Linked DNA regions of Oryctolagus cuniculus. The protein of the gene in region 3 binds, or shares a complex with, the protein of the main gene of each other region. Links are inferred from orthologs where the notes say so. Each region holds a gene or a part of one and is shown on either strand. Other genes may lie near its edges. The genes, in order: DLL4, POGLUT1 and NOTCH1.

Region 1 (3,945 bases), on a different chromosome or scaffold from region 3:
GGGTCCCTGGCATACGCGTGCGGGTGCAGGTGCGGGTGCAGGTGCACCTTGTCAAGGAGAAGAGCAAGGTCAGGAGGGCTGCCTGCACTTGGAGCCCACTGGGTGGGAGGGGAGCTGGGAGCATCTGCTCAACTTTTTGTCAATGGCTCATTTTTTTCATCATGTGGCTCTCCATGGGGGATGTTTGTGGTTGTGAAGAGAGGGCGGTGGCACCCTAGGGACTATCCTGCACAGCGGAGGAAGCCAGGCATGAAGCAGAGACTGGAAGCTCCCTCCTTAGCACCCCAGCCAGAGGAACCTAGCCTGCATCTCCCCATCCCTGCATTCCTTAATAAACTCCTGCTGCCACCGCAGCTGTTAAGGGCAAACCCAAGGCCAACCCCCTCCTGCTCCACCCTCCTGGGGCCAATGCCCTGCCGAGCCAGCCAAGAAAGAGCAGGGCCCCCTGTCCACTACACCCTCCCGAGGGCAGGAGGAGCCACGGTTGAGACCCCATTGTCTGACAAAGGAAAAAACGAGCAGGACTGAGGGGTATCATGAGCACATGTAAGGCTCTTGGAGAGGAAGGGAGGACAGACTCAGGTGGGGGGGCATCGCCCCGGGGGATGGTGACAGCAGAAAGGGCAGGCCCACAGCCAGCAGGCAAGGAGTGCTGGCCGAGGCTGGCCACGGGAGAGGTGAGTGTGGGCTGCTCAGGCACTGGAAGGAGGCAAGGGCCGGGGTGTAGCAGGCCATACCCAGGTGCATGCTCAGGCCCCAGGGGCTCCTGCAGGGCACGGAGCAGCAGGGCGAGAAGGGGCCTTAGAATTCTTCGGGGTCGGAAGGTGGGGAGGGGGTTCCCATTCTGCCATCACAAAGACAGGACCCAAGCAGTCATAAGCTCCTGTACACATCTCTTCCATGTTATAAATACACATGATATACAAAATAACGTTATAAAATGTAGAAAGGTCAGTGCTTCTGATTCTTAAATTACCGAAATACTAGACTCCAAAATAAACTACAAAAAAAATAAAAACTCATATTATTGATTTCTGAAGATGGGCTTCTAGGGTTGTCTGGGGGCAGTAGTGGGCATGGTCAGAGCCCAGGTTCGAGGGAGGGAAGGGTCCCATCTCTCCCCCAGTGGAATGTCCACCATCATTGCCCTGAGCACCCCAGCAAGGCCTGGTGCCCGACGGGCACAAGGGCCAGGTCCTCTGCCTGTCGCTCCCAGGAGCTCAGAGGCAGCTGGGGCAGAGGGCAATGGGTGCCAGGTAAGACTTACCAACGTTCTTGCCCAGGGGGCTGGCCAGGGAGAGGAGCTGGGGGGCAGTCCAAGAAGGGCCCACGTGCGCTGCTAGGAGGCAGGGGCAGAAAGTGCTCCTCTCCCTGCGGGCCCTCGCCTCACCTGCAGGGCTACCCTTGCCAAAAGCCACACCTGATGGCTTTCTGGCCCCCTCTGTCCTCTCTGATTTGGGCCCGGCTGTCTCCACGGAGCCTGGGCGAAGGCACTTTTGGAAACACCAATGCCAGTGCAGGCCATGGCAGCTCCAGGCCCCCACAGAACCACCACCACTCTCTGGAAAGCAGGCCAGAGCCCTGGCTGGCAGGGCAGGTCCCAGTGGCACCGCTCCTCTCCTCTCTGTTCCCCTGGCTGGCGCAGCTGCCAATCTGATGCCAGACAGACGCCCCCAGGTGTTCAAGGGCATTGCATCTCTTGGCAAGGTCACAGTCTGTCGGGTTCGCACCATTCTTCCTCCTCCTGAGAGCAGCACGTTGCATATTTAAAGCGCCCCATCCAGGATGCAATGTAAACAACGCAGAAGGAAAGTCCAGCTGCTGGGCCGAAGCCAGGCTGTCCCGGGTAGGCCCCTGCCTTATACCTGGGGAGCGTCAGAAGGTAGGCGTGAGCCAAGGGCAGGCAGGGCTGAAGGCAGTGTGGGGCTGCCCACCCTGACACGCCACACCTGAACTGCGGAGCTGGTGCTCATGGGGTGGTCTGATGGAGGAGGCCAGTGGGAAGGGGCAGGAGGACCCAAGGCAACCCCCCTCAGCCACCAGCGGCTGGGAAGCAGCACCAGGGAGCTGGCCTAGTGCCACGGCTGCCCAGCACAGTGCCAACACAGTGGGAGAGACCAGGCCAGCCCTGGCTTATGTATCCTGTTTCACCCCCTCCATGGCAACAAAGCCAGCAGGGACCCGAAAGCCTGCCCAGGAGGCATTCTGACCCAGCCTCCAGGAGTGGCCCACGAGGTCCACAGTGACTGGACACTGCCCCCAGCCCCCACAGGGCAGGAGGGATGGCGGGCCCAGCACTCACCTCTGTGGCAATAACACACTCGTTCCTCTCTTCTGATATCAAACACACAGACTGGTACATGGAGTCCCTGGGGGGGCATATCGCAGATATCCGACACTCTGGCTTTTCACTGAGGGAACACAAGACGGGGCGCTGTGAGCAGAGGGTGGGGGTGGGGAGAGGCTGGGGTGGGGATCGGGGAGCCCGGACCCTAGAGAGCTGGGGCGCTTGCAGAAGCGGCACTGGGCAAGACCAAGGGGCTTGAGCAGAGCTGGCCTCACCAGGGAGGTGGGTGGGAGGAGGCCCCTAGGAGAGCCCCAGGACTCCCCAACCTTAGGTCTCAGGCCTGGGAAAGCGTGGCACTGCCACTGGAAGCCACAGCCACGGAGGGATGGGAGTCAGGACAGCCTGTGCACACCTGACATCTGTGAATGAGCCCACAAATGGGGAGGGAGGGCAAAGGGTCCCTGGCAGAAATCGTGTTGGAGGAGACGCCTATCAATAGCCAAGGGCCTGGGCCAGCTCCCCACTCCCTGGGAGGAGCCCAGGCAGGCCTCTGTCGGGATGCAGGGCCAGGCCCAAGGCCTTCCGGGTAGCTCACCTGTGTAACCGCAGTGGCACCTTCTCTCCTAAGCTCTTGTCGCTGTGTAGATACTTCCCAGGCATGGTGCCCCGGCCCAGGGGCCCAGGGGCCAGGTTATAGTCCAATGTGTGGTTCTGCTGTTTGCCACAGTTGGACTTGTCCAGGCCACAGTCCACTTCCAGCTCCTTCTTCTGGTTTGTGTTCTTGAGCTGGGCAGCGGGGATCAGGTTGTCCTTTTGGAAGTCCGACAAGTTGTTCATGGCCTCCCTGCCACCATCCTCGGGCCGCCGGAGCCGCAGCTGCCGTACAGCCACCGCCACCATGCCCAGCAGCACCAGCACTACGACCAGCCCCACGCCCAGGGAAACAGCCACCCAGGGGAAGCTGGGCGGCAGGCCCACAGGGAACTCGCAGCGGCTGCCCACGAAGCCGTAGGGGCAGTTGCAGACGAAGCTGTCCGGGGAGAGGCCGGTGTAGCAGGTGGCCCCGTTGAAACAAGGCCCAGAGGCACAGGCATCTCCGGGTGCCTGCACCTCGCAGCGCCGACCAGAGAATCCGGCCGGGCAGGTGCACACAAATCCATTCTCCAGGTCATGGCAAGTGCCACCGTGGGTGCAAGGGCTGCGGGCACAGTCGCGGATATGGAGCTCACAGTGGGTGCCTGTGAATCCGGGACGGCAGCGGCACATGTGGCTTGGGCCTCGGTTCAGGCACTGGCCCCCTGTGAGAACACACGGGGCGCGGGTCAGCAACAGCCTACAGGTCGCCGGTGCAGGGATGGGGGCCCATCGTGGGGACAAACTAGGTCCTTCTGGCTCTGTGAGCACAGGCAGCGCTGACAGAGCCCACTATACCGCCAGGACCCAGAGCACAGAGTGACTCTGCCTCCCTACACCTAAAAGCACTAGCGTCTCACAGAACTTTCGACTCAGACGCCTTTGCTCCAGTTTGGGGAGCAACTGTCTCCCTCCAGCTGGGGACCTGGCGCTTGTAACTTTGCCTTCTGAACCTCAGCTTCCTCACTTGCTGCACTGGGGTAGCACGTGGTGCCCAGGCAGGTACGAAGGTGCACAGAGGCAAG
Region 2 (3,760 bases), on a different chromosome or scaffold from region 3:
TCAAGAGTTGGAAGCTTTGTTACTCCATACTGTCTGTCAGGTTTGGAACTAGCATCAGAGTACTGTTTCAAATTAAATATCTCTTACAGCCTACTTGAATAATAATCTAAGAGTATAGGAGGGGTTAAAAGGTTCATGGAAAAATATAAATGTGTATTATTAAAAAACGATACATGGATTTCAAAATTTTCATGCAATAAAATAACTTATTTGCAGCAGAGAGAAAAAGCCCATCCTTGCGTTCACTCTCCAACTGCCCACAATGGGAAGGGCTGGGCTGGGGCTAAAGGTGGGAGGTAGGAATTCAATCCAAGTCTCCCACATAGACAGAAAGAATCCAATTATTTAAGCCATCACCACTGCCTCCTAGGGTCTATACTGTCAGGAGCCAGAAGCCACAATCAGGAATCAAATCCAGTTACTCCAATATGGGAGACAGGCATTTTAACTGCTAAGCAAGCACTTCCTTCAATAAACTTATCTTTCAGCTCCACTTTTCCATGAACTTTTGGAAGTGTCCTCATAGATGCAATCAATAGAAGAGAAATAAAGCTTTCAATAGAGAAACTCATCTGGACTAAAAGCCTGAAATCACTGGAAAGTGGGGGTGGGTTGCAGGGTCATTAGGAGTTCTGTCTTAGGGATAGCAGCTTACTGGACATTGGAGAGGTCTGTTTTCACTGGGATATAGTGCACCCATGGCTTCAGTTGTGGATAGAAGAATTCGAGCCACTCTTCACCAACATGGAAAACAAGTGAACCACACAGGAAGAGGTGTTTGAATCGAAAACTTGCAGCTACCCCCCGAAAATTAAACAGATACCTGGGGAAAAGAAAGAGCAAAATAAATTTGATATTCTGTGCCTGCTGTCAGAAATATGGCCTTTTTTCATATTCCTTCCTCCCATTCTCTCCTTTTACCATTCCTCTCCCTTCCCTTTCCATTTTCAGTTTTCAAGGACAAGCAGTATGTCCCTGTGGGGCTTCCATAAACCCCTTGCTTTTCTAGGGCTGGGGCTGCAGGTTGTTCTGGGAATGATGGGTGAAGATAAAACAAGGGTACTTTCTGTAAACAGCTCGTTGGGTGGTGGGATACAAGGAGACAAGGGAATATGACGGTCAGAAGGAATGACAGATTTGGGACATATTTGAGAAAATATAGCAATGTTCAGTGATATACATCAAAATCAAGAGCGAATAAAATTCCAAAAGCTTCTCTAGGCCAAATGTCTGCAACCAGTCATAGCCCCCAAAGCCTGGTTTCCCTCTAGTGTACTCCATGTGCTCAGAGGTGCCCCTGGTTTCCTGGACATTACCCTCTTCTACAGTCTGTAGAGAATGAGCTGATCTGGTCAATCATCAAAGAAATGCCCCATGGAAAAAGCTATCTTCAGAAACAACATTTTCTTTGCAGCATTACTCAAGCATGTTCCGCTGTCTCCCACCAGCGTTGCTTTTATCCTATAGTTCCCACTGGGTGTGCAATTGGCATTCATACCTCTGAACCTCCTCGCTACCCTCCTCCAGACCTGGCTTAACCTCTTCATCCAAAATTTTCAGTCTTGGCATTTAATTATAATATTTATTAATCTGAGATAGGACTTCAACTACCAGTTGGTAGGACGTGGGGAGAAGTAATCCCATCACTTTAATGACTGGAAGGCTTCTAGAAGCAGAGACCAACCACGTTTCATTCCTCTCAGTCCCTACAGTACTCAGGTCGGTGCACAGTAGGCCTTCAATAAAAGGCAACTAAATAGAGCACCAGCGCTGTGGCATAGTGGGTAAAGCTGCTCCCTGCAGTGCCGACATCCCATATAGGTGCCGGTTTGAGTCTCAGCTGCTCCACTTCTGATCCGGCTCCCCGCTAATGAGCCTGGAAAAGCAGCAGAAAATGGACAAAGTATTTGGGTCCCTGCACCCATATGAGAGACTCAGAAGAAGCTCCTGCCTCCTGGCTTCCACCTGGCCCAGCCCTGGCCATTGAGGCCAGTTGGGGAGTGAACCAGTGGATGGAAGCTAGATCGCTCTCTCTCTGTCTCTCTGCCTTTGCCTCTCTCTAACTTTGCCTTTCAAATAAAAATAAATAAGTCTTTTAAAAAAGCCAGCTAAATAAATTAATACAACTTTCATATACCCCAAATAGGCCTTGATATGAAAATCTTCCCCCAAAGTGAAGCTATTTCAAAGGCAATACAGAAACTAGAAGTCTTACTTGTATTTGCAGTGATCTACAAGATGAACATCCTTAGCAGCTGGCTTCCCCAAGGTATCCTGTAATAGAAAATAAATACTTAATATTGATATTTACTGGCAATCACTGGGCAGCAAGCACTGAGGAACACTTCATCTAAGTACCTCACTCAGCCTCATAGTAAACACACTCGGGACGCATTATTATACCCATTATATAAACGAAGAACCCAAAACTTCAAGAAGTTGAGAGGGTTGCTTAAGGTCATATGGCCCTAAGCAGAAGAAGCAGAGATTTTAACCTAGGTCTATTTGGTTCTAGAGTTTAAGTTCACCTGACGCCATGCTGCCCTCCTTTGAACTAAGAGGTCACAGCCTGTAGCACATTTCACTCTAAATCACACCCAGAAGGGCACGAGTCTGGCTGGTGGGTTGAGAAGAGGCCACGCACAAATTTTGCTGGGCATGCAAAGTAGTTAAAAATTATTCAGACCATTACTAACATTTATAGGTGGCAAGCTATTTCTTGCAAAAATTCACATTTCCAACTTTTCCTGGATGAAAAAAGCCAAGAAAGGTCTGGCAAACGGGGCTCCTACTCCCACCCAGCAGCAAGCGCCTGGAGTTGTTTGTGCTGTCTCCTGCTCATACCTTTCTTTTCTTTTCTTTTTTTTTTTTAAAGATAATTTATTTCAAAGTCAGAAGTACAGACAGAAAGGGAGAGACAGAGAGCTTCCATCTGCTGGTTACTTCACAGCAGCAGGGGCCAGGGCTGGGCCAGGCTGAAGCCGGGAATGTTTCCAGGTCTCCTATGTGGATAGCAGGGATCCAAGAAACTAGGGCCATCTTCCGCTGCTTTTCTCAGGCTTTTTAGCAGGGAGCTGGATTGGAAGTAGGGCAGCTGGGACACGAACCAGTGCCCATGTGGGGCACCAGCTTTACCTGCTATGCCACAATGGTGGCCCCTCGCTCATATTTTTCTATCACCTGCTGCCCTAGAGTATTTGAATGTGAGACCCCCAGGTACATTCCATCCACTTTAGCAGGGGAGGAAGTCTGGTTGCTTCTGGTAGATGCTAACAACTTGTGTGCGGAATGAATACATCTTTTTGGGGGGAGCCGGCGCCTCCAGTGCCAGCATCCCATATGGGCGCCGGTTCGAGTCCCAGCTGCTCCACTTCTGATCCAGCTCTCTGCTATGGCCTGGGAAAGCAGTGGAGAATGGCCCAAGCCCTTGGGCCTCTGTACCCATGTGGGAGACCCAGAGGAAGCTCCTGGCTCCTGGCTTCGGATCGACGCAGCTCTGGCCGTTGTGGCCAACTGGGGAGTGAACCATCGGATGGAAGACCTTTCTTTCTTTGCCTCTCCTTCTCTGTGTAACTCTGATTTTCAAATAAACAAATTAATAAAAAAATACTTTTTTTACTTGTATTATTCAATAAAGTTTCTTAAATTCATTTGCTCCAGTTTGATTAAAGCCATACCAAATAATAACATACCTCCAGTTTTCCCCCAGGAAATTTAGAGCTTTTTTTCAAAGCCTACTCATATGGTGGATGGAAATTCC
Region 3 (4,951 bases):
CGCCGCCTGATCCGTTCCCATGCCCTCTGCAGGGGAGTCAGCACCATGAGTCCAGAACTTTCCAAGCACGGAGCCGGGATGGGGCCGGCGGGCTCGGGAGGCCCCATGCCAGCTGCCTCCTTGGGAAGAGGGTGGGATTCTCCCCTGGGCCCCCATGGGCCCCCCGTGGGCTCTGGCCAACTCCTAGACAGACCTTCCGGGGCCTTCTGAGAAGGCTGGGCGGGAACCGGGAGGCAGGGCGGCCCACGGGGGGGGGGGGGCAGTGAGAGTCCCCGGACCTGCGTCCCTCGGAGGCCCTGCTGCCCAGGGGTGGGGGCCTCTGCCCACGGCGCTTCCGTCCTGCCTTCCAATTGGCTCTGGGGGGTGGCGTGGGCACAATGAGGCCTCTGTGGCAGAGCTCGGCTGAGCGCCAGGCCCAACTGAGGCAGGCTTCCCGCCGGGCCCGGGCAGGGGACTCGGGGGGCGCGCGCCCGGCACCGCCCTCCCAGGAAGGTTCCCAGCCCTGGCCCGCGGAGCGCCGAGCGCCGAGGCAGCGAAGGGCGTAATTAATCACTCGGCATTAATCCGCCTCCCCAACAATAGCGGCTGCGCGGCCGCTGAAGCCCAGCTGTCGGCCCCTGAATGAAAGGAAACGAGATTTAGGGCCGCCAGCGTCCGCGAGGCTTCTGCACGGGCAGGGCAGCCCCAAAAGCCAGGGGGTAGAGGAGCCGGCATGCATTCATTAGTGCCTGACAAAGACACAATCCGCTTTGTCCATTAAACTGCACGCAGACGGCCTAATTGGCTTCGGCGTGGGGGGGGCTGCCGGCCCACAGGCCGGGCACCGGGGCGGCAGGAGCCGCCGGGGTTGCCACGGCAATGGGCCCTTGGGCGGTTGGAACGAGGGCGCCCACGGCTGGGGAACTCCCTCCGGTTCCAGACGCCTCTTCGTTATTCTGGTCAGGGACGAGCTGAACTTGACGGGCGCCGGCCGGGGGCCGACGGGGGGCTCCCGGGCAGGCGGGCGGCCGAGGAGGAGCACATTCCAAGACATCCCGGCCTCCGCCCGCCCACGCCACCCCGAGTCTGGGAGGTCAGAGGCTGCAGATGCCGAGACAGGAAGCAAACTCCCCGCAGGCGGCCCCACATCCCACAGCCCCAGGAGCTGGGTGCAGCCCGGCACCCCGGGCCCAGGGAGGGCTCTGGGCCGAGCAGGGGGTGGGTTTTGTTTGGAGCTGTTTCCTGCGCAGGGGAGGCGGCTCCCCGGGTGACACAGTGGGGGAGGACACACAGCACCCCCCCACACCCACCGTGTCCCAGGGTCTTCAGGAATCAAGGGGCGCCAGGGGTCGCCCCTCGACCCCGAAGCACACTGAGACCTCCAGCGGCCAGACCCGCGTGCGGCATAATTGCTGGTGATTAAGTAATTGCCAGGCTGGGTCCAATAAAAGTCAGCACGTGACCCAGCCGGCCTTCTGGGCTATCCCCAGAAGACAATGGCCCAGTGTTCCGGGCCGCAGCAGGCAGGGGCTCGGCTCCCCACCAAGGCAACAGGTCCCCGGCGCGACGCGGCGGTACTCACACGCAGGCCTCCGTGCCGTTGGCCACTTCACACCTGCCACCATTCATGCAGCTCTCCCCGGGCTGGGAGCATCTCGGGCCTGGGGAAGTGGGGGAGAGAGGGTGGTTACCGGGGCTTCCCGAGGGCCCACCCCTCGATTCCGGGGCATGAGCGTGGGGTGGGGAGCGGCCGGGGCCACAGCCCGCCCCGATGAAACCCGGGGGCTTCAGTGCTCTGGCCCAGGGTCTGTGCCCAGAGGTGGCCAGGCCTGGGAACAGGTGGGCGAGGCCAGCAGGTGAACTGGTGGGGAGGGGCAGCTGGAGCCCCCCCCAAGCTGGGTGCTGGGGAGCCCTGGAGGGCGGGGGCCCCGTCCAGCCACCCAGATTGTCTCGTGCGAACGCGATCTGCCAGGGCAGCCCCCACTCGTGGGAAAATGCGACAGCTGCGCCCCCGCCGCCCCGCCCGCCGACAAAGCGCCAGGCGCGGAATCAGAGCGGCCCATTGTCGCCGGGGCCGCCTCCGGGGCACGGGGACAGCGCCCGGGGCCGCCCCGCCTCCGCCGACACCCAATACCTGCCCCCGCGGCGGGCGTCTCCAGGGGCAGCCCCGCCACGGCCCCCGGAAGGCGGCTGCGGAGCGCGCGCGCGCGACCCCCGCGCGCGGCTGCCACGGGACGGGTGTGAGCTGGAACCCACTTTTTGGGAGGGGGTACCGGACAGGTCATTCTCACGCCCCGGAGTTCCCGACGGGAGCGCGCGGGAACCAGCGCCCCAGCCCGCGCGCCGCCCCCGCGGTTTCCAAACTTCAGCTGCGGAGAGCGACCGAAAACTCCAGTCCCGCCAGGCACGGGGGAGGCCTCGGCGCATCTCCCACCCCCACGCACCCGCCCGCGAGCCGGGCTGCGCGACACGCGCCGCGCGGCCCCGGACCCCGCGCCCCGCGCCCCGACATCCGGGCGCAGCAGAGAACACAAGCGGCCCCGACAAGCAACAGGAAGCCAGAGGGACTCGACTCAAACCGAGAAGCGGCGGGCGGCCGGCGGCGCGCCCCGCGGGGCCCCCACGGCCCCACGCCCGGCTCCGACCCCGACCGCGGAGCGGCGCCCCGACGAGGGGCGAGCGGCAGGGGCCGGGCCGCCGCTCCCTGCCCCTCCAGGGCCCGATCCCCCACGCGCGCCCGCGCGCGAAGTTTCCGGGGAACGCGGGGAGTTGCGGGCCGCGGCGGGCGGGCGCCTACCTCTCGCGGCCAGCGCGGGCAGCAGCGCCAGGCAGAGCAGGGGCGCCGGCAGCGGCCGCATGCCTGCCCGTCGGCTGCCCGCTGCCCCGGGCGGCGGCTCCCACGCACACGCGCGCCCGACGGTGCGGCGGGCGGGTCCCGCTCCCTCCCGGCCGGCGGCGCGCTGCGCTCTCGCAGTGTCCGGGCCGGCTCGGCGGCCGCTCGCCCCTCCGCAGCGCCCGCGCCCCTGCGCTCCCGCCCGCGGCCGAGGCACGAGTGAGGCGCGGGGCCGCGCCGCGCTCCGCCCCCGCCGGGAGAGCCGCCCCCCGCCCCGCCCCGGCCGGCCCCGCCCCGCGATCCCTCCGCACCCCGCGCCCCGTCGCGGGCCGCGCGTCCCTGCGCGCGCGCCCCGGGCGGCCCCGCGCCCCGCGGCCTGGGGCGCGCGTCCGGAGCCGGGCGCTGGGCGGCGGGGGGCCGCGGCGGCGCGGGGCGGGCGGCAGCGGGCGCCCGGGGACTACTTCTCGCTCTCAAGTTTTCGGAGGCCGAAAGTTTGAGCCGGGGCTGCGGAAGGATCCGCCCGGGCCGTCGCCTCGCGCGGCGACAGGGGGGCGCGATTTGCATCTCAATAGCCGAGGCGGCGCGGGCGTGGCGGGGCAGCTCGGTCCGGCGGGGCGCTGGGCCCTCGGAGCTGGGCCGGAGCGAGGCCTGGCGCGGGGCTCGGTGCGAAGCCTGGCTGCGTGGTTGGCCCGGCGGCTGCGCCCTCCGGGGCCTCGAGGGTAACAGCCCGGAGGATGGCGCCCAGACCCCCCACCCCCAACCCCGGTCACGATGACCTTGAGGGCTGATGGCGCCGGGGCCCCTGGAGAGAGGGGCCAGGGCCTGGCGCGGGCACGCGGTGGTGCAGGGAGACCCGGGGCTGTCACGCGCACAGCTGCTCCCACGTGTCCCGTCGGGCGGCCGGTTTTCCGCGCGGCAGTGCTAGCGCGTCCCAAGTGTGCCTGCCTTGGCCAGTTCACGCCGCAGCCGGGGCAGGGGGGCGCAGAAAGCTGGGAGCCGAGCGGGGCAGCCCTGGCCCAGGGGGGCGCACGCAGGCTGGCGCTCTGCGCACCTGACCCGCTGCCTTCTCTGGGCACACCTGTCTCCGGGAGACGCGGCGGCTCTGCGGCGGGGGGCCCGCTCCTGCCTTCCCAGAGCCAGAGCTGGGGTAGCACCTCGGGGTCAGCGCCCCGGAGGCAGCGCCGCCATGTTTATGTAACAGAGCCCTGCAGCCCATAGAAGGAAGAGCCGGGCTGCGCGGTCCGCACCCGGCGCCGCCCCTGCTCCCGCCGGGGTGGGGAGGGGGCCGGGGCTTCCGCTGGAGCCCTGCAGAGTCCCTGATCCCTGGGGCGGCCTGAACGGAAGGAGGGGAGCCCTGGCCTGGGGTCCTCCCCAGCGCTGCGGCCAGCACCTCCACTCTCAGCCTCTGCCCTCGGCCGGCAGGGAAGAAGGTGGCAGACCACAGACAGGGCCCTGGGTGTGCAGTAGGAGGGAGGCCCCCAGGGCCTGGGGCTGGGGCACCCACGTGGCAGGGGCTGGGCCCTCATCCACGCAGGAATGAGGCTCTGCGACCCCCGAGCCCCTCTTTACGGAGCCAGGGGGTGGGGGCTGAGGAAAGCGGTCCAGACCAACCAGGGCCACGTCCTGGTGGCAGGGCCTGGAGACCCCCTCTGCCAGTGCAGGCTGCTTGGTGACCCCGTGCTGGGGGGGTTGGGAGCCGACACCTGGGCAGGGCGTGCGGGGCAGCCAGGCCTCCTCTGTGGGAAGCCGCTGAATGGAAGGGCCTGCCGTTCCCCAGGCTGCCCTGGGAGCCGGCACCACCGAGGCGGGGTGCATCGGTCACTTCCTCCCCTTCAGACACGCCGGGGCGCCCTCGTCAGGGCTGGGGTGGCCGGGCTGGCACTGGCCTGGTGTGAGGGGAGAGGCCAGGCCCGGTCAGAGCTGAGCGCAGCTCTGTGGACGTGGAAGGTAAAGGCGTCCTCGCTCGGCGCCGGGTGCACGTCTGTGTGTGCTCACCCTGCACTGTGAGGCCAAGCGCAGCCTCTGAGCGGAGCCGGGCACTGCGCACGCAGGGGTGGGGGTCAGCTGATGGGGCCGTGTGTGTGTGTCTGTGTGTGTGTGAGTGTGTGTGTGTGAGTCTCTGTGTGTGTGTGAGTCTGT

The links.
Region 1: the proteins of NOTCH1 (region 3) and DLL4 are in contact, whole or in part, in a crystal structure (PDB 4XLW), measured with the Rattus norvegicus proteins. The link is inferred for Oryctolagus cuniculus from reciprocal best matches to the Homo sapiens genes NOTCH1 and DLL4. Residues at the interface, in NP_001099191.1 of Rattus norvegicus: Glu415, Leu418, Ala420, Asn421, Pro422, Glu424, His425, Phe436, Pro447, Arg448, Glu450, Ile451, Asp452, Leu468, Asp469, Gln470, Ile471, Ile477; in XP_006234827.1 of Rattus norvegicus: His65, Thr76, Phe77, Asn109, Phe110, Thr111, Pro113, Tyr180, Ser186, Arg187, Leu188, Lys190, Arg192, His195, Phe196, Tyr199, Lys216, Tyr217, Asp219.
Region 2: the proteins of NOTCH1 (region 3) and POGLUT1 are in contact, whole or in part, in a crystal structure (PDB 5UB5), measured with the Homo sapiens proteins. The link is inferred for Oryctolagus cuniculus from reciprocal best matches to the Homo sapiens genes NOTCH1 and POGLUT1. Residues at the interface, in NP_060087.3 of Homo sapiens: Asn454, Glu455, Cys456, Val457, Asn459, Pro460, Cys461, Gln462, Asn463, Asp464, Ala465, Cys467, Gly472, Glu473, Phe474, Val485, His486; in NP_689518.1 of Homo sapiens: Met103, Phe104, Pro105, Ser106, Arg107, Asp133, Gly170, Pro171, Ala172, Val173, Trp174, Pro178, Thr179, Gly180, Thr214, Asn239, Gln240, Ala241, Val274.

What each region holds. Positions count from the first base shown.
Region 1 is NC_091443.1:64,066,740-64,070,684, reverse strand, and holds the end of DLL4 (delta-like protein 4), read right to left. Parts: intron 3,586-3,945; coding exon 2,883-3,585; intron 2,412-2,882; coding exon 2,303-2,411; intron 1,866-2,302; coding exon 1,860-1,865; 3' UTR 882-1,859; downstream 1-881. UniProt on the Homo sapiens protein: Involved in the Notch signaling pathway as Notch ligand. Activates NOTCH1 and NOTCH4. Involved in angiogenesis; negatively regulates endothelial cell proliferation and migration and angiogenic sprouting. Essential for retinal progenitor proliferation.
Region 2 is NC_091435.1:75,996,596-76,000,355, reverse strand, and holds part of POGLUT1 (protein O-glucosyltransferase 1), read right to left. Parts: intron 2,275-3,760; coding exon 2,216-2,274; intron 824-2,215; coding exon 656-823; intron 1-655. UniProt on the Homo sapiens protein: Dual specificity glycosyltransferase that catalyzes the transfer of glucose and xylose from UDP-glucose and UDP-xylose, respectively, to a serine residue found in the consensus sequence of C-X-S-X-P-C.
Region 3 is NC_091432.1:236,551,376-236,556,326, reverse strand, and holds the start of NOTCH1 (neurogenic locus notch homolog protein 1), read right to left. Parts: upstream 3,022-4,951; 5' UTR 2,838-3,021; coding exon 2,777-2,837; intron 1,641-2,776; coding exon 1,562-1,640; intron 1-1,561. UniProt on the Homo sapiens protein: Functions as a receptor for membrane-bound ligands Jagged-1 (JAG1), Jagged-2 (JAG2) and Delta-1 (DLL1) to regulate cell-fate determination.